Linked DNA regions of Sus scrofa. The protein of the gene in region 3 purifies or fractionates together with the protein of the main gene of each other region. This does not show direct contact. Links are inferred from orthologs where the notes say so. Each region holds a gene or a part of one and is shown on either strand. Other genes may lie near its edges. The genes, in order: STRIP1, PPP2CA, SIKE1, STRN4, STK24 and STRIP2.

Region 1 (5,505 bases), about 4.3 Mb from region 3:
TCCTTGACCCACTAGGCAAGGCCAAGGATCAAACCCCCAACCTCATGGTTCCTAGTTGGATTCATTAACCACTGAGCCATAACGGGAACTCCAGAAATCCTGAAAGAGTTGAATCCCAGTGATTTACTGAGTTGAGCTGGGAGTGTGGAGCAGCCAAGATGTAGTTGGGGAGAGACAAAGATGAATAAAATGCCTTTAAGGATCTCACAACATAGCAACAGGTGATCCTTACATATCACCTCTAAGATGTCAAATGGGTCTCATATATGACATGTCCAAAACAGACATCTTGATCTTCTCCCTAAACCTGCTTTCCTTTCTCCCAGCCTCTCTATTTTAATAAGTAATACTAAGCCTTTTTTTTTTTTTTAAATAAGCTATATAAGCATCTACCCAGTTGGTCAAGCCAGAAATCTAGGACTCATCCATCATTCCTCTCTATCTGGCTGATAGTAGTCCAGCCTTTCAGCAAATCCTGTTGAGTTTACCTACACAGTATAGAAATACCATGTCAAACCACTGCTCCATCCTGATATAAGCCATCATCATTTCCATTTATATAGTCTCCTAACCTGTGTGTCCTCACCTACTCTTGCAATTTCTCAATCCCTCTCCAAAAGCGGCCAGACTGGTCTTTTCAACATCAGACCATGACACCTGCCTGGTAAACACTTTTTGATGGTTTTCCATTTCCCGTAGGATAAAATCCAAAGTCCTGTCAGTGCTTTTCAAGGCCCTCTAATTCTCTGGCCCTTGCATTTACCCAGCCCTCATCTCCTACTATTCTTCCCCTGTTTCTCTCATTTTGTACCACACCACTTTAGAGCCTCTGCAGTTAGCTGGTCCCTCTGCCTGTGTTTCTTCCGTGGATCTGGGTGGCTCTCCCTCACTTGTTTCAGAACTCATTCAAAATCTCACCCTTGAAGTTCCCGTCGTGGCGCAGTGGTTAATGAATCCGACTAAGAACCATGAGGTTGCAGGTTCGATCCCTGCCCTTGCTCAGTGGGTTAACAATCCAGCGTTGCCTGAGCTGTGGTGTGCGTTGCAGACGCGGCTCGGATCCCGCGTTGTTGTGGCTCTGGTGTAGGCCGGTGGCTACAGCTCCGATTCGACCCCTAGACTCCTGGGAACCTCCAGGTGCCACGGGAAGCGGCCCTAGAAATGGCAAAAAGACAAAAAAAACGAAAACAAAATCTCACCCTCAGGCCTGCCTTTCTTAAGCAGCCTACCTATTATAGCCCTGCCACACTTCCCCGCCCCTATTACTACCACCTTTGAATCCTTTGTACTTCTTTTTTCCCCTTAATTAAAAATTTTATTTATTTGTTTGTTTATGTAGGCCACAGCTACCGGCATGCGGAATTTCCTAGGCCAGAGAAAATCGAACGGGAGCCACAGCAGTGACAAAGCCAAGTCCTTAACTGCTAGGCCACCAGGGAACTCCCCCTTACACTTCTTTTTGTTTCTTCTCAGAGCTTACTTGTCTAATCTGTTTGTTTGTGTGCACATCGTCTCTCCCACTAGACACTGTGTTATGTACCGTTAGTGCAGGCATTTGATTTCGTTCCTCATTCTATCACATGCTTGGAGCATACCAGATATCCATTAAATGTCTAATGAATAAGTGATTAATGAATGCCATAACTGTAATTGTTTTATTGATTTATTCATTTTTTTCGCACCTCTCCCCCCATGGAAACGCCATGAAGACTGGAATTGTGTCCATTTTGTTCATATCTCCAAAGCTTTGAACAGGGCTGTAACAGTGACAAGCGCAAAGAGATGGTGAAGGCAGGAGTTGGGCAGGCCTAAACTGACTTAAGGGGTTTATGGGCTACGCAGATAAAAAGACCTCTAAACTGGGACCCACACAGAGTAAAAACCAAAGGGGCAGAGGAGGATAGGAAGGCAAATAGAAGAAATATCGCGAACTGTTGGGCAGCCAAGATGGCTTCCGGCACTTGCCGCCACACTTAATATGGCGATCAGGGAGCGTTCCGGGAGGAAATCACGCGAGAGTTTCATCGCAGCAACTGTCGTTGAACTGAGCCGAGCCGGGGGTGTGGAGCAGCCAAGATGGAGCCGGCACTCGGCGGTCCCGGTCCTCTAATCATGAACAACAAGCAGCCCCAGCCGCCTCCACCTCCGCCGCCCGCAGTCGCGCAGCCTCCGCCTGGGGCACCGCGGGCCGGCGGGGGCCTCCTGCCCGGGGGCAAAGCCCGAGAGTTCAACCGCAACCAGCGCAAAGACTCGGAGGTAGGAGCTTCGGGGGGCGAGGTTCGAACCAGGCGGGCGGAGGCTCTGGGGCCGGGGTCGCTCTCGGGTTCAAGCTGGGCCGGGTTCGGCAGAGGAGGTTTTGTTTGTTTGTTTGCTTGTTTAACAGCGAAAGGAGCAGGACGCAAAGCTGGCATCCCCGGGGCGGGAGACTTGAAACCGGGGTCCCCCTCCCCGAGTTCCGCCGCCAGGTAGAACCCTTCTGGAGCCTATGTCCGCTCTTAGGCTCCTCTGCGGCCGGGGCTGTGGGCGAGGCCTCTGGGGATTCCATCCCCTGCCCCCAGTTCAAGGGTGAAGAGTCAGTGGTCTGCGTGCGCTCCAGAGGGCAGCGCGGCTACACCCCCAACCCCCTAATCGTCTCTGGCTTCTGGTCCCGCGGGTTCCGCAGCGCAAGGCGGCGAAGGGTGTGTGTGGGCAGGGAAGAGACTGGCGAGGGTTTGGAAGGCACCTCGAAGACGGACTGAGCTAATTAGCACCGATGTACTGTGCGCCGAGGTGGGGAGAGAAGGAGGGAGAAACAGTCCTGTCCACTCTGACCTTAGCCACTGCAGGTTCGGGCCATGGTTTGACAATGCCTGGTGGTTGGTGTGCCCAGTGCGCCCGATGCTGACCTATTAAAGATGAAAAATATGTTTATCTAAACACGCGTTAGGAAGCCGCTTTCCCTCCGTTCTTGCTAGTGGGTTGTTCCCCCCCTTTCGGAGACACCGTAGTTTGGAGCTCACCCCGCATTAAAGAATTACACTCCCATTGCCTCCCATCGCAGAATTCATGAATGAAGACACACACGTCGCAGCGTTTCAGGCTTCTTAATCAGCACATTGCCAGCGCCCTTACTGTGAGGGCTCCTTCACCTGAGACGACTCCGAGGCTGATTAGCAGTCAGGTGCTTATTATTATTATTAATGAGAGGGAATTCTGCATTGTCCAGGCATAAGGTACCAGTTCATTGCAGAGTGCTGATGCCGTCTTTGGGCCTGTGAAATCAGTTCCTCTCAAGCTCTTGGGTGTTGTTGCATGAGCAATCTTCTGGTAAAACATCAAAATTTGGCAAGTTCCAGTCAGATACACTTTGAGCTTGAGGTGAGTTATTTGAAAAGGCAATGAAACTGACCTTTTAGTAGCCCTGGCATGGTGGGCTGATTGGACGTCAGTGGGGACTTCCTAATAATTTTTCAAGGATGGAGGATTTTGAAAGTGGTAATGAATAATCCACCTTCATCAGAAGAGGAGTTCTAGTGTGGGGTTTGTTTTTGTTTTTTCCTTTTTATAGCCACACCTGTGGCCTATGGAAGTTCCCAGGCCAGGGGTTGAATCCGAGCTGCAGATGCATGCCTCCATCACAGCCACAGCAATGCAGGATCTGAGCCAGATCTGCGACCTATGCCACAGGTTGCAGCAACGCCCCATCCTTAGCCCAGTGAGTGAGGCCGGGGATCGAGATCGAACCTGCATCCTCATGAATACTATGAGTTCTTAACCCACCAAGCCACAACAAGCACTCCCCCTAGTTTTTAAATAGTTAAAAAATTTCCTAAGTGGCCATTAAATGCACTTTGATGGATTCGAATTTTTCTTTCTAACCTTTAATTTCCATGTAGACTCAACACATACAAGGTTAGTGAACACATTTAAGCTGAGGGACCTGTCTAAATCTGTTTCTTACAGATATTAATGCCACTCTTTGTTGTGTCTTAGCTGAAATCAGTAGGCTGGGAACCTGAGGGGTGCCTGCAGGACCCGGGGGGAGGCATTTGATGGGAGCCCACTGTGTGCTACACAATTTTGATTAGTCCTTAAAAAAACCTTCATGATAGATTTTTTTGTCATCCTCATTCCATAAATGAAGAAACTGAAGCTCAGTAACTTATGAAAGAACATGCACTCTTTGGCCCCAATAAGGAGTTCTTCGTGTTAGTCAGTGTTTGTGGGTGTTTTACATCATTTTCGAGTGGTCTTTATCTTCCCAGGTCAATTGTAATCAAGCCTGAGGACTGCCTTTTTCTTCATCTCTTCTCTTTTCCCGGAACATGGCTTCCAAGATGGTGTGTTGTCAGCTAGTGACCTATCCCCAGCAGTAAAAAGATTCTCTTTGTCACCTCCTCTCCCGCGTGTGGGAGGAAGGAGCCATTTCTGTTCAGCTGCTGTCTTCTCCGTCAGTTCTCACTGAAATTTGAGAGAAGGGCAGGAGGGCTGAGGGTGTGTATACTCATATAGTCCTGAGCTATGGATAGGTCACTAGCTAGAAGGAATGACGCTTCCAAAATCTGAGCACCATGTGGGATGGTCATTTCACCGCACAGATTACACGGAAGCTTTAGTGTTCATTCCTCCAACAAGTAGTTATTTGGGTGTGAACTATTCATTCAGTCCGTTGTTCATGCCCAGTAGGATGCTGGGCATTGTGGACTCATTGGTGAGCAAAATGGACAAAGTTCTTGCTCTTAAGGAATCTGCAGTCTCATGGAGAAGCAGACACTAAACGAATACACATGTGCATTTATAATTATGAGTTAGGATAAATGCTGTGAAGTAGTACAGGTTGTTCTGAGAGGGAGACCTGAGCTAGCCCAGGGGACAAAATATTGTGATAAGGCATCAGCAAAGTGAAGGTAGTGACATCCTGTAACACAGCAGGGTCTCTGGAAGCATATGTGTTCATTCCTTTGGAAAACACTCACGGTGATCTTTTGCATGACTCGCCTTTCCTCACCAGGGCTATTCCGAGTCTCCAGACCTCGAGTTTGAGTATGCTGACACAGACAAGTGGGCTGCAGAGCTCTCAGGTAAAGCACAGGCCTTCTTATTATTAGGGGTGCTTTCTTGCCTTGTCAGTCTTTAATAGAATTAAGAGTGAGTATCGTTTTGGAGTTCATTTTGTCCCCCTACTTGGTCCTAGCAGTGATGTGTATACCTAGAGCATGTCCATTGTTGGATTCAGGCCCCGTGTATGTCACAACTTTGGCTTTCTTTACTTTTATGGAGCATCTCTGCACAGTCAGCTCACTTGGCTATGGCCCAGCCCCACTGTGGACATTGATGGCCGTGTGCGGCCCCTCTGGCAGTGGTCTCTTCTCGAACAGGGGATCATGAGGATTGGCAGCATGTGTGGCTGCATCTGTGTACATCTGTCGCTGCCGCTGCTGCTCCCATGTAATGTGGAGTCAGCCTGAGCTGCTTCTCAGGCCTCCATAGTACAAGCCCTGTTCTCAAGCCACTTGAGAGACACAT
Region 2 (5,407 bases), on a different chromosome or scaffold from region 3:
ATAATCAAGTCATTTTACCTTTCTGAGCCTCGGGTTTCTAACTATAACCGAGGATCATTGCCTCATAAACCCGTTAAGAGACCAGTGTACATGAAAGAATGATGAAAACAACATTCCTCACCATGCTCCTCCCACAACTGCTTGTTCTGAATATTCAAATTAATCTTTATGGAAATAAGCCAAAAGGCCTTTTAAATTAAACATGCATACACACAAAAATATATTATCCACTTCATACAGGAATTTAACCTTGGCCAAGTATTTTGCAGGTCATCCAACTAGAAGGAAGAGGGCTGCTTTTTCCATACTCATGTAACAAATGTTAAAACTAAGTGAAGCCTTAATGATTGCATTTTATTTATAGCACCTGCACAGCAGTGGAAAACAGCATACCTACATAAGTAAAGAACTCCTCTGGAAAACAAAACAAAACAAAACACCTGGCTATCAAACAACATTCTCCACAAGTTTGGTAAGACCTGAAAACACAAGGCCAAAAATCATACCTAAATGAAACCACTGCTGATCCTAACAAAAGACTTGTAATACAGTTAATGTAAAAGCAAGTGGATACTACTTATTCTTCCAATCAGGAGATAGAAACATACCAGTCTAGATACACAGATGCACTAACCTCACTGACTACAGAACTGTGCCTACAGACAAAACTGCTTCACTCATCACAAATTTTTAAACAATCAACAAATTATGATCCCCAAAAATGACAAGGTATACTGCACACACAACAACCTTGGCTTTGATACAGACCTTAGTCACATCTTGTGGGGAAAAAACTTACATAGTTAATAACATAAAAACCCTATTCACCCTGGTCTATAAATATACTTTCTTATAATCAAAGAAATTATCAACTATTTCCAAATATCTACCTCCACCAAATATCTTTTCTTTAAAAAGAAAAATAATTACGCTAATTATTACACTAATGAAAAAAGGTTTTCCACTCAAGATTTTCAAAATATACAGGTTTTGCCAGTTGTGCTATTGGCCACACAAATATTAATAGTGAAAAGAGAACTTTTGTTTCACTAGAAAGACTTACTATACCTAAAAAACTGCCTTCAAGTTAATTTATTTTGGAAGGTTAATACAGTTCCCAAAGACGGAATACTTACAAATTAAAAACAGTATGAAGGCTATGTGACAACCTCCAAAAGGACCCATGTCTTGAAAATCTAGCATCAAAGATATATATATATATATATATATGCTCCAAGAATTAAAATCTTTATACAGTGGATGAGCAATGGGGATTTAAACATAAACTGATTAATCTCACTCCATCTTGATATTACAGAGACATAGCAAACAATATTTACCAAGGGGATCAAGCTTCAGTCCCCCCACCATAATTCCAATATCTTCTGCTGTCTCCAACACAGACCCTTTACTTCTGTGGTCTATCTACTACAGACTTCCAACCAGATTCAAGATCCTTAAAAATAAGCATGATTATTTTTCATTGCTTTTCACTCCTCTCATAAAAGTAAGCAATCTTGGATATCCAATAAGTGTTCAATATTTAAATACAGAGTACTATTTTAAAATGCAATTGTATAATCTCAAATGATTAGAAGGAACCCTGGAACATGTTTTAACTCTATAGACAAGAAAATGTGGACCAAGTGAAGTGATTGCCTCAAGGTCACAATTACTTGGTGGCAGAAAAAGGACCAGTGTCCAGGTCTAACTCACAGTCCAGTGGTCTTCCAACCACATCATTACTCTGTTGCAATGTTTGCTACACAAATAACTAGTCATCTAGCCAACTGCTGACTCAAAGTCTTTATATAGAGTTAAGTACTCAACTCTAAAAATCTTTAAAATCATCACTTACAGTATCCAAAAACTAAGACCTAACACTATACATTAAACAATTTTTAAAAGCCCACTTCCAAAACTTTAAACAAATGTCATTTTCATCTGATGTAAAAGAATTAAGGATCAAGAAGCAACAAAAGGCTCTACATTGCCAGTATTAAAATTCAGCTCCAAGAGATGATGTGCCACCTCATCAACTAGAAGTTTTGTTGAGGCTTGGGATAAACAAATCTGAATTAGACTTACTTAAATTGCAGTAATTCACAGAAGAGTTTCTGAAAAAGCCTGTTTTAGGAGCGTATATGTCAAATTTACGAATCTAATTTTCACATCAAACCACAAACGAGTCAGCGTAATTGCTTTCTAATAACTCTCTTCACTAATACAAAATGTTGATGATACTCCACCATTCTGTGGAACTAAAGATGCTGCAGAGTTATTTTTAAAAAGAGAAGTTGAAACATTCATGGTGGAGATCAGCATTTTCTCTACTTTAGAAAACTGAATTATAAGACTTAAACAGGCTACCTGTTTCCCCAACTCCTTGGGAAAAACAAATCAGAATTAGGTCATTTAAAATGGACTTCTAAAACAGACTACAACATTCCATTTTAAACGTTTGTGGGATTTAAACACTAAACACAATGACTGGAATACAGCAAAAGCTCGATCAACAGCTGTTAATATCATACTTACTACTTAAAGTCACAAATATACTAACAACTTTTCCAGCAGAGAGCAAGGATACAAAATCTGCTGGTCTTAACAGTTTATGCTGCTCATTTAAAAAACAAATGGCAAAATGCCAAGAACCTTAAGCTTAAAGAAGGGTTTCATACTATCCAATTTGAGTCAGCATATAAATCAGAGATTAAACTGACACTTGATTTCCAATCCCAAAGCTCCTATGTAGAATGACTCACCAAAATGTCTAATTCTTCCAACTATGAAAAATAAGTTATACTCCTCCCTATAACTACCACCATGACCTTCATTGAAACTTAGATTAAAAGCTCATTTAAAAATTCTCGAAAAAATGTACTAATAAGTCTCTGGAAAACACAGCTCGAGAGGTTTACCATAAACCACTCAAGACGATGCTAAATCTGCGTGACCTTTATTAGATAGGTCCCGGGATCCGGCCTACAAGCTTGCCTCTGGGGGACCCTCTGGACAGCTCTGGACCTAAGCATTCGGCCTGAGTACAAGTAAGAAACCTCCCACCAAACTCACAGAAGAGTCCCAGGCCCCATTCCCAGGCCGTAGAACCTAAGACCTCGTGCCCAGATATCAAAACCGTCCCTGACCCTTACTCGCAGGGTCTCCGCTCCCCCGCACCCTCCCCCAGCCACTTCGCTTCCAGCCAAGGCCGGGAAGCTCTGAAGCCCCGGAGTCGGGTGAACGGCGCCATTTTAGGCGGCGGTGGCAGCGACAACCAATCCCTGCGCGGGAGGCAGGGGGCGCCGGGTCGTCCGGGAGCCGCCGCCGGGCCGCGCCGGGGGCCGGTCTGGGAGGCTCGGGGGCCGGGGCCGCTGGCCTCCGCCATGTTGCACCCTCCCCGCGGCCGCTTCCTTCTCGGCGGGCTCGGCCCGCCCCGGCTCCCGAAGCCGGAGTGCAGCTCACCTTCTCGCAGAGGCTCTTGACCTGGGACTCGGACAGCTGCTTGCACTCATTCAGCTGCTCGATCCACTGGTCCAGCTCCTTAGTGAACACCTTCTCGTCCATGATGCCACCCGCCCGAACCGGCTGCCGCTCCGCGCTACTCCCGCGCCGCCGCCCGCACACGGGCCACACGCACACGCTGCCGTCGGCCCCCGGGGTACTTGTGTGGCTGCTGAAGGCTGCTCGGCAGTAGCGCTGCCCGGTTGACTCGCCCCTCGGTGTTCGGCTACCGGCCACTGACCTCCTCCGCTCGCTCTAGCCTTGGAGCTCGGCTCTGTAATGGCGGCCGCCGGCGTGGTGACGTCACGCCCGGCGTCAGGAGGTGGCGGGGTGAGGAGGGGTAGAAGCGCCGGGATACGAGCTGCGCAACTGCCGGGCCGGCTCTCATCTGCGGCCAGACCCGAGCGGGGGCGGGAACTAGGGGCCAGGGCGCAGGCGCGTAAAGTAGCCGGCTGGAAACAGGCACCTTCGCTTTTAGGGCGCGGTCCTGTAGAAGGGAGGGGCCGAGGGGGAAGGGAAGACCGAGTCCAAGCAGGGGCCTTGCTTATAGCTGGGAAGTGGGCTAATCTTAGAGCACTAAATCCTGCAGGGTGTAGTTGCGGACCAGGCGCAGGCGCAGCCGGGGTGCGAGGGTGGCTCCTTGTTGCCGGAGACTTTTTCCCTGAGGTGATACGCCTCGGCTCCTCACCTGGCGACTGCCAAAGCACGGAAACGAGAATTGGGCCCCGTGGCTCCTCCATTCTACAACAGCACTGGAATTGCTGCATCTTGGGAGCAGGAACAGGCGCCGAGTGGTAGCCAGGTTGGAGTAGCCACCCCTGCCTCCGGGTGCGGCCAGCACCTTGTAATTAGGTCAGTCGTAGGCGGAAGAGGGTGTACCTGCAGTACTGCGCAGTGCACCTGACTCCCCAACACACCTGTCCCCGGGCCTCGATGTCTCTTCTAGCGCCATGGCTGGGGCCTCCTAGCGCTCCTGGCTTCCACAGGCGCCGCTGCAGTCTTGCCATTGTGGCCTTCCCCCCTAGGTGGGCGCTTTCCTCCGACTCCGAGCCTCCAAGGGAAGAAGAAAACGCCCCCGACCCCACCCCCACCAACCGTCTGCCCACTCAGGCCTTCTTTCTAGAGGGAAGACCGCAAGGAGATGGACGCACCGGTCCTGATTGAGACCCGGTAGTGTTAGAAGCGGCTGTGATGTGCGCTTTAAAGAAAGCTCAGATACCCTAGGATCGGACCTCTGGCTATAAATCTCTTCGAGATTCGTGAAATGTATCCGCATTCCGTTGTCCTTGCATTCGCAGAAATATTTGGCTCCGTACACCGCCAGTTATGTTCAAGATTCATGCCCGAAGGACAGAAGGGTCATACAAACAGAGGTACCCTACCCTGACGGAGCTTGTGTACTTCCTGGGATGATCTGGGGATAGACAGGCAGAAGAGCCCTTCACAAAAGCAGGAAGATGAATGGCCAGTAACACAAGGGTAGTAAGCAGGGAAATGAAAACCACAGATTCCAGGTTTGACTCTCACCCATTTGGCAAAAACTGTCAACATCCAATGTTGGTGAGGATGTGGAGCAATGGGGTCTCTTATACACTGCTGTACTTTGGGACAACCACTTTGGAAAATCTGGCATTATCTAGTTAAGGTGTAGATGGGCACAACCCATGCCCAGCTCTTCTTCTCCTTGTTGTTTTCCCTAGAGAAAGTTTTGCACATGGACTTCAGGAGATAAGTATAAGGATGTTTCTAGCAGTGATGTTTGTTATACCAAAAATTGGAAACAAACCAGAAGTCCTTCAGCAACAGACTAAACAGTGATATATTTAACACATAGACATGTTGCTTGTGGTTTTTAGCCATGACAGTGTCCACAGAATCTCAGAGATGGAAGTTTTCCAAAGGA
Region 3 (5,530 bases):
TCCCTGGCCTTGCTCAGTGGGTTAAGGATCTGGCATTACCACAAGCTCCTGTGTAGGTCACAGATGTGGCATATGATCCAGCATTGCTGTGGCTGTGATGTAAGCTGGCAGCTGCAGCTTCAATTCAACCCTTAGCCTGGGAACTTCCATATGCTGCAGGTGTGACCCTAAAACCAAAAAATGATAATAATAATTTTAAAAAGAGAAGAGAGTTTGACATACACACTTGACAAGGTAAACTAATAAAGCAATTAACAAACAGCACAAAAGTCATGCTATTCTAGTTAAATTTGTTTTCAATTAATAACTGAATTAAAATTGAAAAAATAGATAAGCAGAAAATAATGACTCCCTCTTACACACATTAAGATGGCTATTAAAACAACAACAATGACAAGAACAGGGAGCACGCTGCTGGTGAAAATGTAAAATGGTGCAGCCACCATGAAAAACAGTATGGTCAATCCTCAAAAATTTTTAAATAGAACTACCATATACCCCCAGCAATTCCACTTCTGGGTATACATTCAAAAGAACTGAAAGGAAAGACTCAAATGGGAGGCTCATACTGAGTGAAGTAACTCAGAAAGAGAACGACAAATACCATATGATATCATTTATATCTGGAATCTAATATATGGCACAAACTAACCTTTCCACAGAAAAGAAAATCATGGATTTGGAGAACAGACTTGTGGTTGCCAAGGAGGAGGGGGAGGGAGTTGGGATGGATTGGGAACTTGGGGTTAATAGATGCAGACTATTGCCTTTGGAATGGATTAGCAGTGAGATCCTGCCGTGTAGCACTGGGAACTATGTCTAGTCACTTACAATGGAGCATGATAATGTGAGAAAAAAGAATCTATATGTGTAGGTGTAACTGGGTCACCATGCTGTACAGTAGAAAATTGACAGAACACTGTAAACCAGCTATAATGAAAAAAATAAAAATCATTGCATATAAAAAAATCAAATGGGTATTTATTACATGTGTTCATAGCAGCATTATTCACAACAGCCAAAAGGTGGAAACAACCCAAGGGTCCATTAATGGGTGAATGGATGAACAAAACATGATATGTACATAAATATAGATGTAAATATAGATATCAGTTAATATTTTTGTCTTTTTTTTTTGTTTTTTTTTTTTGTCTTTTTGCCTTTTCTAGGGCCACTCCCACAGCATATGGAGGTTCCCAGGCTAGGGGTCTAATCAGGGCTGAGAGACCCTGGCCTAGCCAGAGCCACAGCAACTCGGGATCTGAGCCACGGCTGCGGCATACACCACAGCTCACAGGAACACCGGATCCTTAACCCACTAGGCAAGGCCAGGGATCAAACCCGAAACCTCATGGTTCCTAATCGGATTCGTTAACCACTGCGCCCCGACAGGAACTCCCAATATTTTTCAGTCTTAAATGGAAGGAAATTCTGCTGTACATGCATGAAGCTTGAGGACATTATGCTGAGTGAAATAAACCAGTCACGAAAATGACAGTTATGATTTACATGACTCCATTTATAAGTGGTACCTAAAGTAGTCAAATCCATAGACAGAAAATAGAAGAGTAGTTGCCAGGGGGTAGGAGGAAGGCAGAATAGGAAGTTAAAAATTTGACTGCAGAGTTCCAGTTTTGCAAGATGAAAAGAGTTCTGGAGATAGATGGTGATAACTGCACAATTTGAATGCACTTAATACTACTGAACTATGCTTCAAAAATGGTTAAGATGGTAAATTTCATGCATAATTTACCACAGCTTAAAAAAAGAAAATATTTTTAAAAGAATGACGATAACAATACACATTAATCAAAACCACAAAGGAAAGGAGAAACTTGGACTAGCCCAGCCATAACTCAACTTGACCATCAGGCCTTGCAGGAAGCCAAGGGCGAGGCAAGGGGAGGCCTCCGCCACTGGGCACATATAAAGGCTTCGGGGAAACCGCGGCTTAAAGCGGGTCACCAGCTGACCTGGCTCCACTGCGCAAGCGCTATAGGCCATCACCGAGGCGCCTTTAAACGTACCCGGAAGTGACGTCACTAACGCTGAGACAGGCTCAGGACGGATCTGAGAGGTTCCTACAGCTGACCGGCGCTGGGGCTGTGTTCCTGTGGAGGCTATGAGCTGCACCATCGAGAAGATTCTGACCGATGCTAAGACGCTACTGGAGAGGCTGCGGGAGCACGATGCTGCGGCCGAGTCGCTAGTGGACCAGTCCGCGGCGCTGCACCGGCGGGTGGCCGCTATGCGGGAGGCGGGGACAGCCCTTCCGGACCAGGTCAGGCAGAGGGTAGGGGTCCGTGCCCTCGGGTTCTGGGCACTTTAGGGGTGGAGGGTGAGATAAAGTGGGAACGCGACTTGGAATATATTCCTGGTCCCCGAGGGCAGCGGTGAAACCTTTTTGCGGGGTCGGGGATGAGAATGTTACCCTGGAACACTGCCTCCTGCGTCTTCAGTTGCATTTGCGGCTGTCTTGTTTACGGCGCGATTAGTATGTCTCTGTTTGTCCAGTATCAAGAGGATGCATCCGATATAAAGGACATGTCCAAATACAAACCTCACATTCTGCTCTCCCAAGAGAATACACAGATTAGAGACTTGCAGCAGGAAAACAGAGGTTAGTCAGGCCTTTTTGTGTAGTTATGATTTTCTCATATGCAGTAATATTTAAAGAGTTCTTGCAGAACTGACAAACCATTCATAAAGATACACATGCTGTATTGTCCAAGTCAGTACTTTTAACGGGAAAGTTGTCCTGTGCCGGCCCAGTAGCAATAAAATGTGTTACATTCCCTTTTCAAGGTCATATAACTGATTTTTTATTTACAGGCAGCTCATCAGAAAGGTGTGTAGTAGAGTTGAATACTGCATGGCTTATTAGGTGTCCCCAGATGGAGTTAATATGCTTTGTGTGTGTGTCTTTTTGTCTTTTCTAGGGCCGCACCCACGGCATATGGAGGTTCCCAGGCTAGGGGTCTAATTGGAGCTGTAGCCGCCAGCCTACATCACAGCCACAGCAATACCAGATCTGAGCCACGTCTGCTACCTACACCACAGCTCAGGGCAACCAGATCCTTAACCCTCTGAGCAAGGCCAGGGATCGAACCTGCAACTTCATGGTTCCTAGTTGGATTTGTTAACCACTCAGCCAGGAGAGGAACTCCTGGCGTTAATATCCTTAAGGGCTTAAAATTTAATTTTTAAATAATTGAAATAAACATTAAAGTTAAGATCAAAGGGGTTTTTTTATGTTCTTGTGCAAGGCGGAAGAGCTAAGTTTTATCCTCTGGTGTATATTCTTGGGCTTAATGAATACATTGCTAATGGTAGTAGTATGAATAGCTATTTGTATATCAGTTTTCAGAGGGAATTACATATACCATACACTTGTATTCTCATAGCTTTATTTTGAAGTAAACAAGCCAGGTATTTATTATTACAAGGCAGATAAGAAATAGAGGTTAAATGATTTGCTTTAAGAGTAGTAAGCTAATAACTCAAAGAACTGGACTTAAACTTATGTCTTCCAATTCCACATCCCATGACTCTATCAGTTGATGCTGCTTCTGCCTAGACAGATATTTTTCACATAGTTAAGTTTTGGGGACTTCAACACTGATTTACAACTTTGGATTCCTAATATCCCATGGAATGCCATAAACTTCCAACTGTTTGAGTGTGGCTTTAGGAGGTATCTCTCAGACATCACTGCCAAGTTTTTTTATTTTTTGATAGAGCTATGGGTTTCCTTGGAGGAACACCAGGATGCTTTGGAACTCATCATGAGCAAATACCGGAAACAGATGTTACAATTAATGGTTGCTAAAAAAGCAGTGGATGCTGAACCAGTCCTGAAAGCTCACCAGTCTCACTCTGCAGTAAGAAACTTTTGTGAAAAAATTTTAAGGGAACTGCATTTAAATCTTGAAATTGTTTTGGATTGTGTGTTCACTTTTGAAGAAAACTAAGCTGTTTTCCTTTTGTGTTTTATCACATTTGCTGTTGGTTTTAGTATATCTTTGTAAAGATATGAATAAGAAGACTGGGGAAGGTAACATTGTTAATCAACTGTACTTTAATAAAAAAAATTTTTAAAGTAAAAAAAGGTGGGTAAAGAGCTGCTCAGGGCCTTTTATTTGAGTAATTCCAAAGTTCCTCCCTCCCTCACTGAGATCTTGTTTCAAGATGTTAATGAATGCTTCGTTCTTCTACCAGACAGAATGCCAGTTAATGTTGAAGGGGCTCAGTAAATACTTGAGTGGTTATTATTGTATATTTCACTAGACTTTAAGCTCTTTGGTTGTAAGGAGCTTGAATTCCATCTATTATCTCTAACATGGTACCTGGCACATAGCAGGCAGTCTGTAAACTATACAACATCAGTATCTATACTTTAGTTACTTATGATTTAATTTGGGAGACCCAGTAATTATTCTGTTTTCTTAACATTTTCATTTTTTCTGTTATAGTTGATTTACACAGTACTTGCTCATAAGTTTGTGGAGTGTTTCACAGTTCTCATTGTATATTCACATGTACTATATCATTTAATACATGATATAGTATGTATTACTATATCTCACTCTTTGCTGCAGTGGAATTTCTGGAAGATAAGTTTCATCTTAGATTCCACTGAAAACATTTTACTGACTTTAGTTAAAAAACTCAGAGGAAATGGGTGTTTTGGGGGGGTTGTTTTTTTGTTTGTTTGTTTGTCTTTTTGCCTTTTTTAGAGCTGCTCCTGTGGCATATGGAGGTTCCCAGGCTAGGGGTTGAATTGGAGCTGTAGCCACCAGCCTACACCAGAGCCACAGCAACACGGGATCCAAGCTGCATCTGCGACCTACACCACAGCTCAGGGCAATGCCAAATCCTTACCCCACTGAGCAAGGCCAGGGATCGAACCCTCATCCTCATGGTTCCTAGTCAGATTCGTTAATCACTGAGCCACAACGGGAACTCTGAAAATAGGTATTTTAAATATGCAAATGGCTTTCATCTGGACAAAATAATAATCTGTAATCCAGAAGCAAAAACTTGAACCTTGAAGGAGACAGAATTTAGTTTATATTAAAAACTTGCTGGGAGTTCCCTTTGTGGCTTAGGGGTTAACAAACTCAACTAGGATTCATGAGGATGTGGGTTCGATCCTTGGCCTCACTCGGCATTGCTGTGGCTCTGGTGTAGCTTGGCAGCTGAAGCTCCGATTGGACCCCTAGCCTGGGAATTTCCATATGCCGTGGGTGCAAGCCTAAAAAGCCAAAAACAAAGCAAAACAAAACTTGCTAAGAGATGTGACCAAAGATACAATAAGATACCTTGGAATGTGGTAAGTTTGGTGCCAATAAAAATATTTGAATTTAAGTTAAATAGCCATTTAGAGATACTCTCCAACATGCAATGAGTGTTTAGACCAGAATCGATTTTCTGGAAACAAATTACCTGTGAATATCACAAGGTAACTTTATTGTGGCTTTATCTCTGAGGACTGAGATTATAGTGAAACTTCTGTGTAAGCTCTGTAACA
Region 4 (4,793 bases), on a different chromosome or scaffold from region 3:
CCACTCCTGCCTCATCCAGTCCATCCTCGGTCACGTGCTGAAGCCCCTTGTCCCACCCTCTACCAGACCCGGAGCCCTGGCGCTCCCGCCCCAGTTCCCACAGCATCAGGCCCCCGGCAGCGGCAGCTGGGTGAGGGGAAGGAAGGCAGTGGGAGGAGCTGTCCTCACCGTAACCGTCGTAGGGGTCCATGTTGAGGTCTGGAATCTTCCAGCTGTGGATGCGGGCATCTGCCCCGCCACTGTAACAGTGCTCGCTGCTGCTGCCCATGGCTACCGCCAGCACGGGCCCCCTGGAGGATACCGAGGAGGGGAAGCAGGAGATGCCAAACTCCTCCCCCAGCCCCCACGGGACCTCGAGGGGCTCCACTAGCATTTTTCAAAGATGGCCAAACAAACAGAACCCAGCACCTGGACCTCTGGTTGTGCCTCCCCCCGCCGCCCCCCGGCAGGCTGCCTGTGCCCTGCCTTCCCCCAAGTCCTGAGTCTGTTTCCTCCTTCGAAGACTGTGCTGAGAAGCGGCTACGGAGGTGAAAGAGTCTGCAGAGCGCCAGAAGCCAGGCTGCCTTTGGGGGCCACTCCCTACCTGTGAGCCCGGAAGGCGTGGATAGGTTCCACGTCTAGCGCAGCATTCCTGTGGGGAGACGGAGGAGCCAGCTGTCACTGGGAGCCGCTCGTCACCCTGCTCCCTGCGCCCAGATGCCCCCGCCACACCCCTCCACGCCGGGGCTGCTGCTCTCACTTCTTGGCCGTGACCGCCTTCTGCAGGTTCCAGAGCTTGAGCGTGCCGTCCTCGGAGGCGGTAAGCAAAGCTGACTGGCTGTGGTGGAAAGCCAGGGAGCGGATGCCATCGTAGTGTGAACGGAGGGTGAATTTGGGGTTCCAGGTCTTCTTGAAGGCATCTTTGCTGTCAGACAGCTGGGGTGGGGGCAATGCCTCAGCATCTGCTCATCCAGCCCAGACACTGGGACCTCGAGAAGTCGTCCCTCCCCCTGCCAGCCCCATGTGGAGCACCCCACGGACTGGCCTCCAGCCGGGGACCCCTGCCCCTCCCTCCTGGCCCGCAGTGTCCCCTCGCTCACGCAGCAAGTTCCTGCACTGTGCAGGACTGGGCTAGCTCCTGGGGAGACAGAGGTGACTCTGATCCCTGGGGATCTCACGACTCATAGAGGGAGCCTGGCGGAGACAAGGAGAGGTCTCTGCAGGATTACAAATGCACCGAGAGGGGTCCCAGGCAGCCCCCTCCTCTCCTCTGCGGGGCTCCATGCGGCTTTCCCAAGGAAGTGACAAACAAGCAGGACTTCACCAGATAAGAGGGGGGAGGAGGACCGAAACTGCATGTGCAAAGTTCCCGAGGCAGAGGCAGCAGGAGCGGTCAGGAGATAGACAGGGCCGCCCTCCGCATCTCATCCTAAGCGGCGGGGCATGGTGGAAGGGATCAGAGAGGGAAATGGTACAGATTTCTCCAGCTGCCCTGCGGGGAGCTCAGCTGGGGAAGAGAGGGAGGCAGAAAGGTCCCGAGGGAAGTCTCCCCAGGAGATGTGAAGCAGGGACCAGACGCTGGGGAGTGAGACGGGGACAAGCACGCTCATGGGGAGAGACTGGGGAGCAGGCTCAGTGGGCCTCGGGGAGCAAGGCCCAGAGGCGTCCTGCGGGCCCTGGCGGATGGGGTCGCTCTCCAGGTGGGCGACCCGGGGAGGGCCACTCAGGAAATGAGCAGATTTTCAGGGGAGCCTCGGGGCCCTGCACCAAGACGGGGTACACGCCTGCTGAACCCCTTCATCTGCGCTCTTTCTCAAAGTCCTCACTTCTGCCACAGCTGTTGAGGGCTGGAGGGTCTAGCCCCTCGCGCAGGCTGCCCGGGGTAGGGCTGCAGCGCTCAGGCCTCACTTCCAACAGCCCCAGCAGCGCCCCAGCCTTGCTGGGATCACCGGGCAGGCAATCCCACTGCAGGTCCTGCCACGGGAGCGTGCTCACGCAGACCCACGTCAGAGACTCCTGGCCAGCCAGAGGCCTTGCACCGTCTCAGGCCCAGGACACCGGCCCTAAGGTCTCCTTTGCTTCCAGCCCATGGCCCCGAGGGCCTCACGCATCCCAGACTGGCCTGAGCTTTGGTTTTGTGGCCTGAGGTCACCTTCCCCTCCAAAGCCAGCTCAGTCCCACCTCCTGCACAGATGCTTTCACTTGCACTACTGCCCCCCGCAAGCCCCTTTCAACTCTGACACCGGATGTTGACTCAGCGCCCCCTTGGCTCCCGCCTCCTGCCCATGGCAGGTCCTGGACTTGCGGTGCATGGAAGCCGGGGTGGGAGGCAGCTTTGCTGAGAGGAGAAGCCTGGCAGCATGATTAAAGCACAGGCTCCAGAGCCACACCAGTGACCACGGTCAAGTCCCACCACCTGTCTGCACGGGCACCCCTCTGTGAAGACAGGATGAGCCGTCAAACGCTCTCACATCCTCCTCTGTCACGGGGGAGGGGCTGAGCGCAGGCGGACACCGTCGGAGCCCAGCAGGTCCCGCACCGCGCGGGACACCTGACCGGGGCCTGCGGGGGGTGGGGCACCCTGAGAACTTACATCGCAGCTGAGGTCGTTGTCGTTGGTGACGGTGAGATCTGCCAAGTCCCCCAGGCTCACCTCCCCGCCCCCGATAGTGTCCATGATGAAAACGTCTGAGGAGAAGCCAAAGGAACCTGGTAGGGGTGGGGCGGGGCGGGGCAGAGCGGGCAGGGAGAGCGAGAGAGAGCCAGAGAGAGGCAGAGCCATCAGGAGTGAGGAGGAGAGACAGGCAGAGGACCAGATCAAGAATCACAGCTGGAAAGAAAGAGACAGAGACAGACAGACAGGGCAGGACAGACAAAAAGAGAGGGAGACAGAGACAGACAGACGAACGTTTGGGACAGGGAGGCTGCAGACTAGAGGTCGGGCCTCGACCCTGAGGACACAGGAGCCCTGGGCTCAGCTCTGCAGCCTCCCTCTGCCATGGGCCCCTCAGGACTGGGCCGGGGTGGAGCAGCCTCTTACCTTCGTGTGGCCGGGGCTGGGGTGTGCCAGGCGGTGGGCCTGTCACTTTGGGGGGCAGCCCATCCACATCCCGAAGGTCGGCCAAAATTCCCTGGAGTTTGACCCGCCGACTTTCTGCAGGGATGAGGTGGGGCAGGAGTCACCGACCAGGTCAACGAGCCACGTGCAGGTGACTCTCTCCCCACTGCCGGAAGCCTCTCCTGCAACCAGGGGTGGCTAGGAAGCCCGGCACCCAGGGTGAGGGACAGACCGAGATGGGGCCCTCCATGGCCGCCCTTGCCGGGGCCTCAGTCCCCAGCCATCCTACGTGACCCCCGAGGGCCTCGTGGCTCCGAGTCACAGGACAGGAAGCAGCAGCAGCACTGCCCATCTGGCCCCCCCACTCTGGCTCTGCATCCTGTCCCTGAGGTCCACCAAGAACGGGCCGCCCGAGTGGAGGGCTAGAGGCCCTGCCTCAGGAAGAGGCCTGCCTGGTCCCCACGGGGATTTTCCAGGGAAGGGGCACAGGCCTCCCGCTCCCCTTGGCCTTCCTCTCAGGAAGCGTATCCGTCCGGTGGAGCCCTTGGGGCAGGAAGCAGCTGCCTGTGGCCATGTGCCCGCGGTGAAGGAAGGCCGGCCAGAAAAGTCTCAACTCACCCAGTTCATGGTGGGTGCCCTCTCCAGCGCACCGCCGAGGGTCTGGAGAGCCCTCCCCGTCCTCCCCGGAGCCCAGGAAATCAAATTCGTTGATGGCATCCTCTGAGTCATCCTCTTCGTCTTCATCCTCCATTTCAGGTACCAGGGCCTTGGACGGCAGCTGGGGCGTGAACACCAAGCAGAGGTCAGGGGCTCTTGCCTAGAGCCCAAGCCCCCAGGTTCTGGGAACAGAGAAGCAAGGGTTTCTGGCCTGGGCCGCCTGGCAGCGTCCAGCCCCAGCCCCGCACTCGGACGCCGAGCACCCCCTGCTGGGCACTTGACTAGCCTGCTCCTCACTGGCTGGGGTGGGGCGCCTTCTGCCTCTGCCCCCAGCTGTGACCCCCACACCCATAGGGCCGTCCTGCTGGCTTCTTCTTGGGCTGCTCGGGCTCCCGCTGCCCCCCACGCTCAGCACGGTACTTCCGAAATAACGTCAGCTAATACGACCACCTCTTTCAGGGGTGAGAGAGAATGTTTGTTTGTGTCTATGGGCCTAAGTGAGGGAAGGAGGTGCACACTCAAAGCCAGATTGGATTCACTGAACAGATCCACAGGTACGAGAGTACCAGGAAGGAGCCCCTTCCCCTCTGGGTCAGCCTCTACGCGTCACATCCGTGATTTCACAACCCCATGAATAGTTATCATTATTATAATTTCTTTCGTCTTTTTGAGGCCACACCCATGGCATATGGAGGTTCCCAGGCTAGGAGGAGAATCAGAGATACAGCTGCCGGCCTACACCACAGCCAGAGCAACACAGGATCCTTAATCTACCGAGTGAGGCCAGGGACTGAACCGGCATCCTCATGGGTACTAGTCAGATTTGTTACCCTGAGCCACATCGGGAACTCCCATTATGGTAATCACTGGTCCCATATTACAGATGAGGAAACGGAGGCTGAACAGAGTGCAGCCCTTGCCCCAGGTCGCAAGGTCCAAGCCATTTCTTTTAAGACGGCTCTTGGGTGTGTGATTACCTGAGGTTCTTCGCATCTTCCTTATAACTTTCTAAATGGGCTAAATTTTATACACATATATATATATATAAAACACGCAGGAGCTACTTTTAGAACTAGAGAAAACACCTTCGTTCCTCTTT
Region 5 (4,793 bases), on a different chromosome or scaffold from region 3:
AGCAATCCCACTCTTGGGCATATATCCGGACGAAACTTTCTTTGAAAAAGACACCTGCACCCTCATGTTCACTGCAGCTCTATTCACAATAGCCAAGACATGGAAACAACCCAAATGTCCATCCACAGATGACTAGATTAGGAAGATGTGGTGTATATATATATATACACAATGGAATACTACTCAGCCATAAAAAGAACAACATAATGGCATTTGCAGCAACATGGATGGAACTAGAGACTCTCATCCTGAGTGAAGTAAGTCAGAGAAAGACAAATACCACATTGTATCACTTATATCTGGAATCTAATATACAGCACAAATGAACCTTTCCACAGAAAAGAAAATCATGGACTTGGAGTATAGACTTGTGGTTGCTGAGGGGGAGGGCGGGGAGTGGGATGGTTGGGGTGCTTGGGGTTAACAGATGCAGACTTCTGCCTTTGGAATGGATTAGCAATGAGCTCCAGCCGTGTACCACTGGGAACTATGTCTGGTCACTTATGATGGAGCATGAGAATGGGAGAAAATAGAATGTGTACATGTATGTGTAACTGGGTCACCTTGCTGTACAGTAGGAAATTGACAAAACACTGCAAACCAACTATAATGGAAAAAAAAAAATCAGTATATTAAAAAAAAAATCTGGTTCTCGAAAACTAACACCTGTGTTCTAGGATGAGAGAGCCAGAAGCTAACGCGTCTCAGAAGCTCTTCCTCCTGAATCGAAACTCTTCCCTGGACCATTCGGGGCACTTTCAAAAAAAAAACAAAACAAAACAAACAAACAAAAAAACCCATGAAATTCTCATTTTAAGAAACTGTGGTAAAATACACACAAAACTTACCCTGCATGACCTTTAGTGTATTCACGGTGTGCATTCATCGCTCCCATCTAGGTCTAGAACTTTCCATCACCCAAAAGGAATCCAACTAGGAACCATGACGTTGTGGGTTCGATCCCTGGCCTTGCTCAGTGGGTTAAGGGATCCGGCATTGCCGTGAGCTGTGGTGTTAGGTCGCAGACCTGGCTTGGATCCCAAGTTGCTGTGGCTCTGGCGTAGGCTGGTGGCAATAGCTCTGATTAGACCCCTAGCCTGGGAACCTCCATATGCTGTGGGTGCAGCCTTAAAAAGCACCAAAAAAAAAAGAAAGAAAATTCAGATTTAAAAATTTCTGGTGCCGGGTAGCCTCAGAAAACAGCTCTTGGACTTTCTCCATTTAACCACCCGTTAGTTACCACGCTAGGGCGGAGCCCGGCTGCCCTGTGCCCTCCCCAGCAGATGCTGCAAGGGGCCCTGCTTCTGCTCTCCGGGCTAGCGGCCCCCCCCCCCACCCCGCCCCAGCTCTGCTCACAGACACATCGGGCTGACCACGGCCTGTCTCACCAGCCCGGCTTGGACGCTCAGTCGGCTTTGCTTCTTTCATCAAAGTCATTTTCTCTGGTTCTCTGGGGATTTTTTTTAGGGTCTTTTAAATAGATTTTAATTGTTTGGGCAAAATGTTTTGGAGTGCAAGAGCTTTCAGATTTTGATTATTGTTGTCCATTTAACATTGACTTTGTTCTATTCTCTCAGACTTTTCTTCTAATCATTTAAGTAACCTGAATCCTTTTTTTTCTTGTCAGTTAGAACCTGGCCCTTTAGATGAAACTCAGATTGCTACCATATTAAGAGAAATACTGAAAGGACTTGATTATTTGCATTCAGAGAAGAAAATCCACAGAGACATTAAAGGTAAAAGAACACAGCTTGTTTGTGTCCCTTTGAAATGCCGAAGGCGAAGGTGGGTGGGAATGGTCGTCTTACCTGCGCTGCTCTCTCAAGGGTTGTCGTCCTGAGGGCGGTCTGCGATTGCGAGGGGAGGGGGCGCCCCGCGGGGGTCTAACTGAAAGCAGTTCTTGTCCAGCAGTGGTGTCGCTGTGCACACGCTCCCCCCGTGCTGGAGATGGAACTTCCGGCACATGATGTCAGGGGGCGTCTTTGGCTTTATTTTTGCAGCTGCCAATGTCCTGCTGTCTGAACACGGGGAGGTGAAGCTGGCCGACTTTGGCGTGGCAGGCCAGCTGACCGACACCCAGATAAAGAGAAACACCTTCGTGGGCACCCCTTTCTGGATGGCGCCCGAAGTCATCAAGCAGTCAGCCTACGACTCAAAGGTGAGGACGAGAGTTCCCTTGTGGCTCAGTGGGTTAAGAACCTGACATAGTGTCTGTAAGAATGCAGGTTTGCTTCCTGGCCTCAACTCGGTGGGTTAAGCATCCGGCATTGCTGCAAGCTGTGGTGTAGATCGCAGATGCGGCTCGGATCCCGTGTTGCTATGGCTGTGGCACAGGCCGGCAGTTGCAGCTCTGATTCGACCCCTAACCCGGGAACTCCCATGGGCCACGGGTGTGTGTGTGGCTGTTAAAAAAAAGAAGAAGAAATGTGCGGTCAGGAGCCTCAGCTGGCTGGGTCTGGGAGTGGTCCTCTGGACTTGAACTTCAGGGCTTGTCCTGGTGGGGGAAGCCAGGGCCTTGTCGTAGGTCACGAGGGCAGTTCGTGGGCTACGGTTAGAAACAGGGTTCTTCTGTCTGCTGCCGTCTCCGGCACCCCTTTATGCAACCAGCCCCCCGTTCCAGTGTCTGAAGGAGGGACACGGAGGAGCAGCGGGTGGAGGCCGGGGGACGGGGTGGCCCGGCCGGTGGGGGTGTCCAGCAGAGGCATGTGGGGGCGCGGGGAGGCCAGGAGGAGGGGATGGGGCAGAGGGCCTCAGCAGGACCCTGGCCAGGCACAGGCAGGGTCCCTCGGGAGAGGCGGCGTCCACAGAACACCAGGCAGACCCTTCCTGTCGGCCAGTGTAGCGCCCAGTTGGGATCGTCATTCTCAGAGGCTCTGTGCCGACTTGAGGCCAAATCGTGATTCTTTTCCCAGCCTCTTCCTCCTGTCGTGTTGTACGCTCCCATTTCTCCTGTGTTCTTGCCTCCGTTGCCTGTCAGCGTTCTTAAGCTTTTTGGTATAAACTTGAAAAGCCCGCGAACCCGCCTCCCGCAGGCCGCTCTCGGCGCGGGACGGCGGGAGGATCCCCACGGCCCCAGAGAACAGGCTTCTCCAAACCAGGGCTTGTAAGCAAACCTCTGACTCGGTGTGCTGACAGCCGAGCATCATTTCTGCTCTCGAAGAGGAAATCTCCTTACCTGGCAGGTTCCCACCTTGTTAAATGTAGCATGCGGAGCACAGGTAGGTTTTCCTGGGCACCCGAGGTCGGCGTGTGAGCTGATGGCGCTGGTGGCCTGGCCCCCTCATGTTGAGGTGTGGGGACAGCAGCGTGTCTGGCCTGGGCCTGCCTTGCCCCGTGGGGTGGCTCTCCCCGTAGCTACTTCCAATTGTGGCAGCCACGGGCCCCTCCTTCCCTGGGGTTGTGTCATTTTAGGGTGTGACAGGGGCTCATGTGTTTGGTCCACTCTGTTTTAAGCTGAGGCCCATGTGTCTGAGTTCCGGCATCTGGATTTTGGCTGGGCTGTGACGGGACCCCAGGAGTCGTCCCTCATCTGATGGCAGCCGCACTGAGGCCGCTCCTCCATTCTGGTCACTTAGCTGATCCGCCACCGCCGCTGCAGCGCAGCACTCAGATGCTGGGTTTTCAGCGACACTCATCCCTTGCTCAGGAACGGTCCCCGAGGCCTCCCCAGCCCCGCTGGGGCCTCTCCGGGTGTCCGCCCAAGGCGGCCTCTGAGCAGCAGAGCCTCCTCTGCACCTTCCCCAGCTGTGGTCAGGACCACATGCGCTCCCGTGTGGCGGGTAACGGTGCCTCCTCTGCACCTTCCCCCGCTGTGGTCCGGACCACAGCGCTCCCGTGTGGCGGGTAACGGTGCGGCCTTCCTTTTAGGTCGATGGCAAGACGCGTCTCAAACGGGGCAGGGTGCAGCTCGGGTGGGCAGCTTGAGGAAACGCATCATGTTGCTTGTTCACCCTCAAGTCCATTACCTTGAACTCTGGCTCACGGCAAAAGCTAGTGATTCACTGGCTTGGGTCAGACACAGCAGCTCTTAGCCGGAGCTCACCTGGGAAACTGCGAAATTTGCTTCCCAGGTTTGTGGACACAGGAGGTGTGGGAAGCATGGAGAAGGCTGAGTCGGGAGGTTCGTCAGCGGCCGGGCCTGAGGGCTGCCGTGCCCCCAGCCTAGCAGCTCTCGTCGTGCGCACTGGCTGGTGGAGGGTGGGCGCTGCCCGTCTCCTGACTCACACACCTGCTCAGCTTCTCTCCTGTCCCCCGTGTTCTTTCCGGACGGTTCCCCCCGGTCTGTGTGTTACAGGTCAAGAGCTTGAGCCCTGGGCCCCTGGGGAGGCCGCGTGCTCCGCTCAGTTGCAGCTCCAGGAAGGTGGGCTGGGCCGAGGCTGGTGTGTTCCTCTCCCTGAACTAAGGGGATGTAGGCCTTGGTCTCGGTGATCAGCTGGACCCTGTGACACAGTCGCCTCTGGAACCGTGGGCCCCTTGTCAACTGTCCAGGCTGCTTGGTTCTGAGCGTGTTTGCATGTACAGGGCCGTCTCTGTTCCTGATCTGACACAGTGTCTCTAAGTCGTGCTGGCCACCTGCCTTGGGCACCTTCATCATCCTTATTATCTTTAAGGTGACCTGGCTTGGCTCCAGAAGTCCCCAGACTATGCAGACAGTGCCCCAGGTGAGAGCGCTTCCTGCCCCCGGGAAGCTGAGGCTCAGGGAGGGACCGGGCCAGTCTGAAGACTGCCGTCCTTGCTGCCTCTCTGTGTAAGGGCATCGGGATGCTCTGTTAGCCAGGGGCTTGGACGTGGGT
Region 6 (4,793 bases), on a different chromosome or scaffold from region 3:
AGTTCCCTGGTGGCTCAGCAGGTTAATAATCCAGTGTTGTCACTGCTGTGTCACAGGTTCCATTCCTGGCCCAGGAACTTCCATGTGCCATGGGCATGAGAAAAAAGAAAAAAATATATTTTGCTGCAGTTAACCATGTATATATTGGTTCATTCAATATATTCATTTGTATATATCATTCATATATATATGTATATATATATACATACACATATACATATTATTTAAAAAAATAAGAACTTTACATGTTTCAATTTACATGGTAAAATTTAAATGTTCACAATATCATTTTATTAAACATTCCTGAGAACATAATTTTTAATAGCTACACATAATATTCCACTACTTTTTTTTTGCCACACCCAAGGCATGTAGACATTCCCAGGCCAGGGATCACCCCTGAACCACAACAGCAATCCAGGTCATTGCAGTGACAATGCCAGATCCTTAACCTGATGTGCCACAAGGAAACCCCCCCCACTACTTAATTTCTTTTTAAAGATTGTTTTCTACTATTATTGGGCATTTATTTCAGTGTTCTTCGTATCCAAAATGAATATACTCGTACCTCATTTCTGATTATTTCCTTAAGATAAATTCCTTGAAGTGGAATTATTTGGCTAAGGTAATCTCGATTCATATTTTTTCAGTTTTCTGAATTTGAACTGAGTTCAACTTCATTTGGCACTCCAACTACACATATAATGGACATGAAATAAAGGCAGAGTTAATGGCATGTTAATTTCTAAAGTGTTCTCATTTTGTCAAAATATTTCTCTCTCCAGTAGGCCATCTTTACTCATGTGCTGAATAGTTTCCTCACCTACCTGACATAGGAAGTCTCACAATTTTCCAAAAGTCTATATTCCAAATTCAACCCACTAAAAAGACATTAAATTTAAATTCCAAACATAAGAGAAGGATGATGAGTATATGATTGTATGGAAGTTAGGTATGGCCTTTGGAAGGAGGTTGCTAAAGAGGCAGTGGGTGTGGCCTTAGCAAGTACTGTAGGAAGCTCAGCCTCCTCTGGGTGGTTGTTTAGAGCAGTGGTATGAGAAGTAGGATGTGCAACACGATGCTTTAGGGGTGGAATATATTAGATCTTCTATGTGTATTAATATCCTTTTTTCTATATTTCTGTGCACTTTATAATATACATCATGTTGCTACAACAATCCGTTTATAATTTATAAATAAACACACATTGTATTTAGGAGTCACTGAGTATCAGAGCTAGAAGTTTCTTAGTGTCTTGCCCAATCTCATCCTCTAGTGGTAAGGCAATAGATGGAGTGGTGAAGTGTTGTCCAAAGCATTGGGTCAGAATTTGCATGACCCAGCCATTTGCAAAGAAATGTTTGGAATATCCTCTTATATCTAGGCAAGTGAAATTATTAAGTTAGTTTTTAAAAGGCAGTTCATTATAAAATTTCTTAAATTTGGATTTGATTTATATCTAGAAAGACCTATAAAAATATGTTCATATCACTTAAATTTATATAACTGATCCTTTCATCTCTTATTAAATTTAATTTTTATAACTTCCTAAATCAGGTAATACAGATAATCCCAGAAGTTTTTTGGGTTTTTTTTTTTTGCCTTTTAGGGCTGCACCTGTGGCATATGGAAGTTCCCAGGCTAGGGGTGGAATTGGAACTGTAGCCACTGACCTACACCACAGCCACCTCGACGCCAGATCCAAGCAGTGTCTGCAACCTACACCACAGCTCATGGCAACTCTGGATCCTTAACCCACTGAGTGAGGCCAGAGATTGAACCCACAACCTCATGGATCCTAGTTGGGTTCGTTAACCCCTGAGCCACGATAGGAATTCCAATCCCAGAAGATTTTTGTTATTTATTTATTTATTTATTTATTTGCTCTTTTTGCCTCTTCTAGTGCCGCACCTGAGGCATATGGAGGTTTCCAGGCTGGGGTCCAATCGGAGCTGTAGCTGCTGGCCTACGCCAGAGCCAAGGCAACGCCAGATCCGAGCTGTTTATGTGACCTACACCACAGCTCATGGCAATGCTGGATCCTTAACCCACTGAGCAAGGCCAGGGATCGAACCTACAACCTCATGGTTCCTAGTTGGATTCGTGAACCGCTGAGTCATGACGGGAACTCTGATTTTTGTTATGTTTTGATTTTGCTTTTCTTTTTTTCTTTTTCTTTCTTTCTTTCTTTTTTTTTTTTTTTTTTTTTTTTTTGTTTAAGGCTGCACCTGCAGCATGTGGAAGTTCACAGGCTAGGGGTCAAACTGGAGCTGCAGCTGCCAGCCTATACCACAGGCAGAGCAACATGGGATCTGAACCGCATCTGCGACCTATACCACAGCTCACAGCAACGCCACATCCTTAACCCACTGAGCCAGGCCAGGGATGGAACCCGCATCTTCATGAATACTCGTCGGGTTTGTAACCCACTAAGTCACAACAGGAACTCCTGTTCATTCCATAATTGATGTGTGTTTGTCTTGGTTACTTCAAATTAACTTGGGAGAGGAGGGAGTAATCTTCCATTTACTAGATAGCAGCTCACTTCTGCACGTCTCCCACACCTTCATTCTCCATTCACATGGTAGACACGAGGAATTTTCAAGAAGTTAGTTTGACCACCATGTGCGCTCATTGATTTGTATAGCTTCTGACACCAGTGTATAGTTACAGTCCCCAAAACCCATAAAGACTCTTATTTTCGTTCCTGAAAGATGTTCCTATGAGCAGATACCTGTTTCTGATCTGACATCCATCTGTTATCACTGGTTGGGTGCTCACAAACTATCAAGAAACATTCAAGAGAACCACCTGGTTTGAATTAACCATGTGCCATTTTTCCTTCCATGCCAGAGAATTAAGCTAAATTGCTTAATGTGCAATTGCTTAAACTGCAACGTGGTTTGATAAAGGAGGGTGGAGACTGATTTTAAAAAAATAAACTGTAATGAATATCAGATCCATCCAATATAGTTTGAAATCTACCAGAATAACTCCTAGCAGTTACAGACATAAGCTTTCCTAAAGCAAAAAGCTATACAAGAAAGCTTGCTTAAATGAAGTTCCTGTGTTCATATATCATCTTTCTCTAGTACTTACTCTAGGTACAGAGTCTTCCAGAATTGGCAGCTGTGTGTTTTCAGATGAAGGATATTACATGCTTTGAAGCCTCGGTGTGTGAGAAACAGGATGGAAAGGAGGTAGCATTTCATATGGAAGGTCTCACCTAAACTGACCAACAGTGACCTCCAGATTTCTGTGGGAATGAAAGCCTTGTAGGTGTTGAGATAATGATGAACATGCCTTATTACAGGAAGCTGGAGACAACAACCAGTTCTGCTGGAGGAATCTCTTTTCCTGCATCAACCTTCTGAGGCTGCTCAATAAACTGACCAAATGGAAGCATTCCAGAACCATGGTGAGTGGAACTTCAGATCACGGTGTCCACCTGACTGAATTTTCTTTATCTTTAGTAAATATGGACTTCCTGCTTTGTCTATAGATAGACACTGAATGCTCTGTAAGATTTAGCACCTCCTAATTCTGGGCACTTATTCTACATGAGATAATTATTAAATGGTCCATTTCTTTTCAGGGAACTTAATATGATCTCTCCTTCAGAGCAGCTCTGGTGGGGAAGTTGGGATTATCTTTTAGATTATAGTACATATCCCAAATGATACAAGCCTAAGATTATTCATTACAGCATTATTTATAATCATGAAAGATTGGAAACAACCTAAATGTTCATTAATATGTGACCAACTGGTTAAATATGGTACATCCTTGTAATGGAATATTAATACAACCATTAAAAAGAATGAAGCAGTTCTATACTGCTATGGAATAGTTTTCAAGAAATATTGTTAAATAAAAATCAAGATACGGAACAATGTGGAAGGATATGTAGTTGCTATCATTTTTGTTAATAAAATAATATATGCGTACACAAAATTATCTCCAGAAGATACGTAGGAAACTGGTAACAATGGAAATGGGATGTGTGGCTGACTAACTTCTTCGGCACTTTGAATATTAGAAATTTTGAATTATGGAATATAAATAGAGTGGATCCTCTCTGTTCTTATGACCAAGCGTAAGTGGAGCTTGGACCACAGATTTCCCAAAACTTACCAGGGTAGTCTGAGGTTAACAAGGTTTGGCTTAATTTGTCTGTGAGGTGGAAATTCCAAGAAACTTTAGACACTTATCTATCTTTCTTCACTCCCACCCTCTTTAAATGGGCAGATGCTGGTAGTGTTTAAATCTGCTCCAATCTTAAAGCGGGCTCTCAAGGTCAAACAGGCCATGCTGCAACTTTATGTCCTGAAGCTGCTCAAAATACAGACCAAGTACCTGGGGCGCCAGTGGAGGAAAAGCAACATGAAAACCATGTCAGCCATTTACCAGAAAGTACGCCACCGCATGAATGATGACTGGGCTTATGGGAATGGTGAGTTTTCTCAGGGCTTTTGCCCAGGGTTTAAACAGAACTAAATAAACATTTGCTACTCTTTTGGTATGAATTGTTACATGTTTTAGATGAGAAAATATGTGATTATATTCAGGTACTGATAAAAAAAAAAACCTTAAAGCACTGCCCCAGATTCTAGCACTTACCTTGTCCTATGTATACTATGAAAATCCACTTTATGGAGTTCCTGCTGTGGCTCAGCCGGTTAAGACGACATAGCATCTGTGAGGATGTAGGTTCTATCCCTGGCCTTGCTCAGGGGGTTAGGATTCTGGCATGTCCACAAGCTGTAGCGTAGGTTGCAGATGCGTCTTGGTTC

Evidence for each region.
Region 1: the proteins of SIKE1 (region 3) and STRIP1 purify together in Homo sapiens (affinity purification with mass spectrometry; 3 studies listed by BioGRID and IntAct, with this or other methods). This does not show direct contact. The link is inferred for Sus scrofa from reciprocal best matches to the Homo sapiens genes SIKE1 and STRIP1.
Region 2: the proteins of SIKE1 (region 3) and PPP2CA purify together in Homo sapiens (affinity purification with mass spectrometry; 4 studies listed by BioGRID and IntAct, with this or other methods). This does not show direct contact. The link is inferred for Sus scrofa from reciprocal best matches to the Homo sapiens genes SIKE1 and PPP2CA.
Region 4: the proteins of SIKE1 (region 3) and STRN4 purify together in Homo sapiens (affinity purification with mass spectrometry; 3 studies listed by BioGRID and IntAct, with this or other methods). This does not show direct contact. The link is inferred for Sus scrofa from reciprocal best matches to the Homo sapiens genes SIKE1 and STRN4.
Region 5: the proteins of SIKE1 (region 3) and STK24 purify together in Homo sapiens (affinity purification with mass spectrometry; 4 studies listed by BioGRID and IntAct, with this or other methods). This does not show direct contact. The link is inferred for Sus scrofa from reciprocal best matches to the Homo sapiens genes SIKE1 and STK24.
Region 6: the proteins of SIKE1 (region 3) and STRIP2 purify together in Homo sapiens (affinity purification with mass spectrometry; 3 studies listed by BioGRID and IntAct, with this or other methods). This does not show direct contact. The link is inferred for Sus scrofa from reciprocal best matches to the Homo sapiens genes SIKE1 and STRIP2.

The regions. Positions count from the first base shown.
Region 1 is NC_010446.5:110,077,353-110,082,857, reverse strand, and holds the start of STRIP1 (striatin-interacting protein 1), read left to right. Parts: upstream 1-1,840; 5' UTR 1,841-2,076; coding exon 2,077-2,256; intron 2,257-4,990; coding exon 4,991-5,060; intron 5,061-5,505. UniProt on the Homo sapiens protein: Plays a role in the regulation of cell morphology and cytoskeletal organization. Required in the cortical actin filament dynamics and cell shape. Part of the striatin-interacting phosphatase and kinase (STRIPAK) complexes.
Region 2 is NC_010444.4:136,518,886-136,524,292, forward strand, and holds the start of PPP2CA (serine/threonine-protein phosphatase 2A catalytic subunit alpha isoform), read right to left. Parts: upstream 3,746-5,407; 5' UTR 3,568-3,745; coding exon 3,466-3,567; intron 1-3,465. UniProt on the Homo sapiens protein: Catalytic subunit of protein phosphatase 2A (PP2A), a serine/threonine phosphatase involved in the regulation of a wide variety of enzymes, signal transduction pathways, and cellular events.
Region 3 is NC_010446.5:105,777,766-105,783,295, forward strand, and holds the start of SIKE1 (suppressor of IKBKE 1), read left to right. Parts: upstream 1-2,030; 5' UTR 2,031-2,122; coding exon 2,123-2,281; intron 2,282-2,514; coding exon 2,515-2,620; intron 2,621-3,738; coding exon 3,739-3,881; intron 3,882-5,530.
Region 4 is NC_010448.4:52,606,604-52,611,396, forward strand, and holds part of STRN4 (striatin-4), read right to left. Parts: intron 3,816-4,793; coding exon 3,656-3,815; intron 3,134-3,655; coding exon 3,020-3,133; intron 2,689-3,019; coding exon 2,573-2,688; intron 916-2,572; coding exon 740-915; intron 632-739; coding exon 584-631; intron 291-583; coding exon 169-290; intron 1-168. UniProt on the Homo sapiens protein: Calmodulin-binding scaffolding protein which is the center of the striatin-interacting phosphatase and kinase (STRIPAK) complexes.
Region 5 is NC_010453.5:67,474,376-67,479,168, reverse strand, and holds part of STK24 (serine/threonine-protein kinase 24), read left to right. Parts: intron 1-1,627; coding exon 1,628-1,736; intron 1,737-2,000; coding exon 2,001-2,158; intron 2,159-4,793. UniProt on the Homo sapiens protein: Serine/threonine-protein kinase that acts on both serine and threonine residues and promotes apoptosis in response to stress stimuli and caspase activation.
Region 6 is NC_010460.4:19,213,792-19,218,584, reverse strand, and holds part of STRIP2 (striatin-interacting protein 2), read left to right. Parts: intron 1-3,313; coding exon 3,314-3,418; intron 3,419-4,248; coding exon 4,249-4,453; intron 4,454-4,793. UniProt on the Homo sapiens protein: Plays a role in the regulation of cell morphology and cytoskeletal organization. Required in the control of cell shape. Calmodulin-binding scaffolding protein which is the center of the striatin-interacting phosphatase and kinase (STRIPAK) complexes.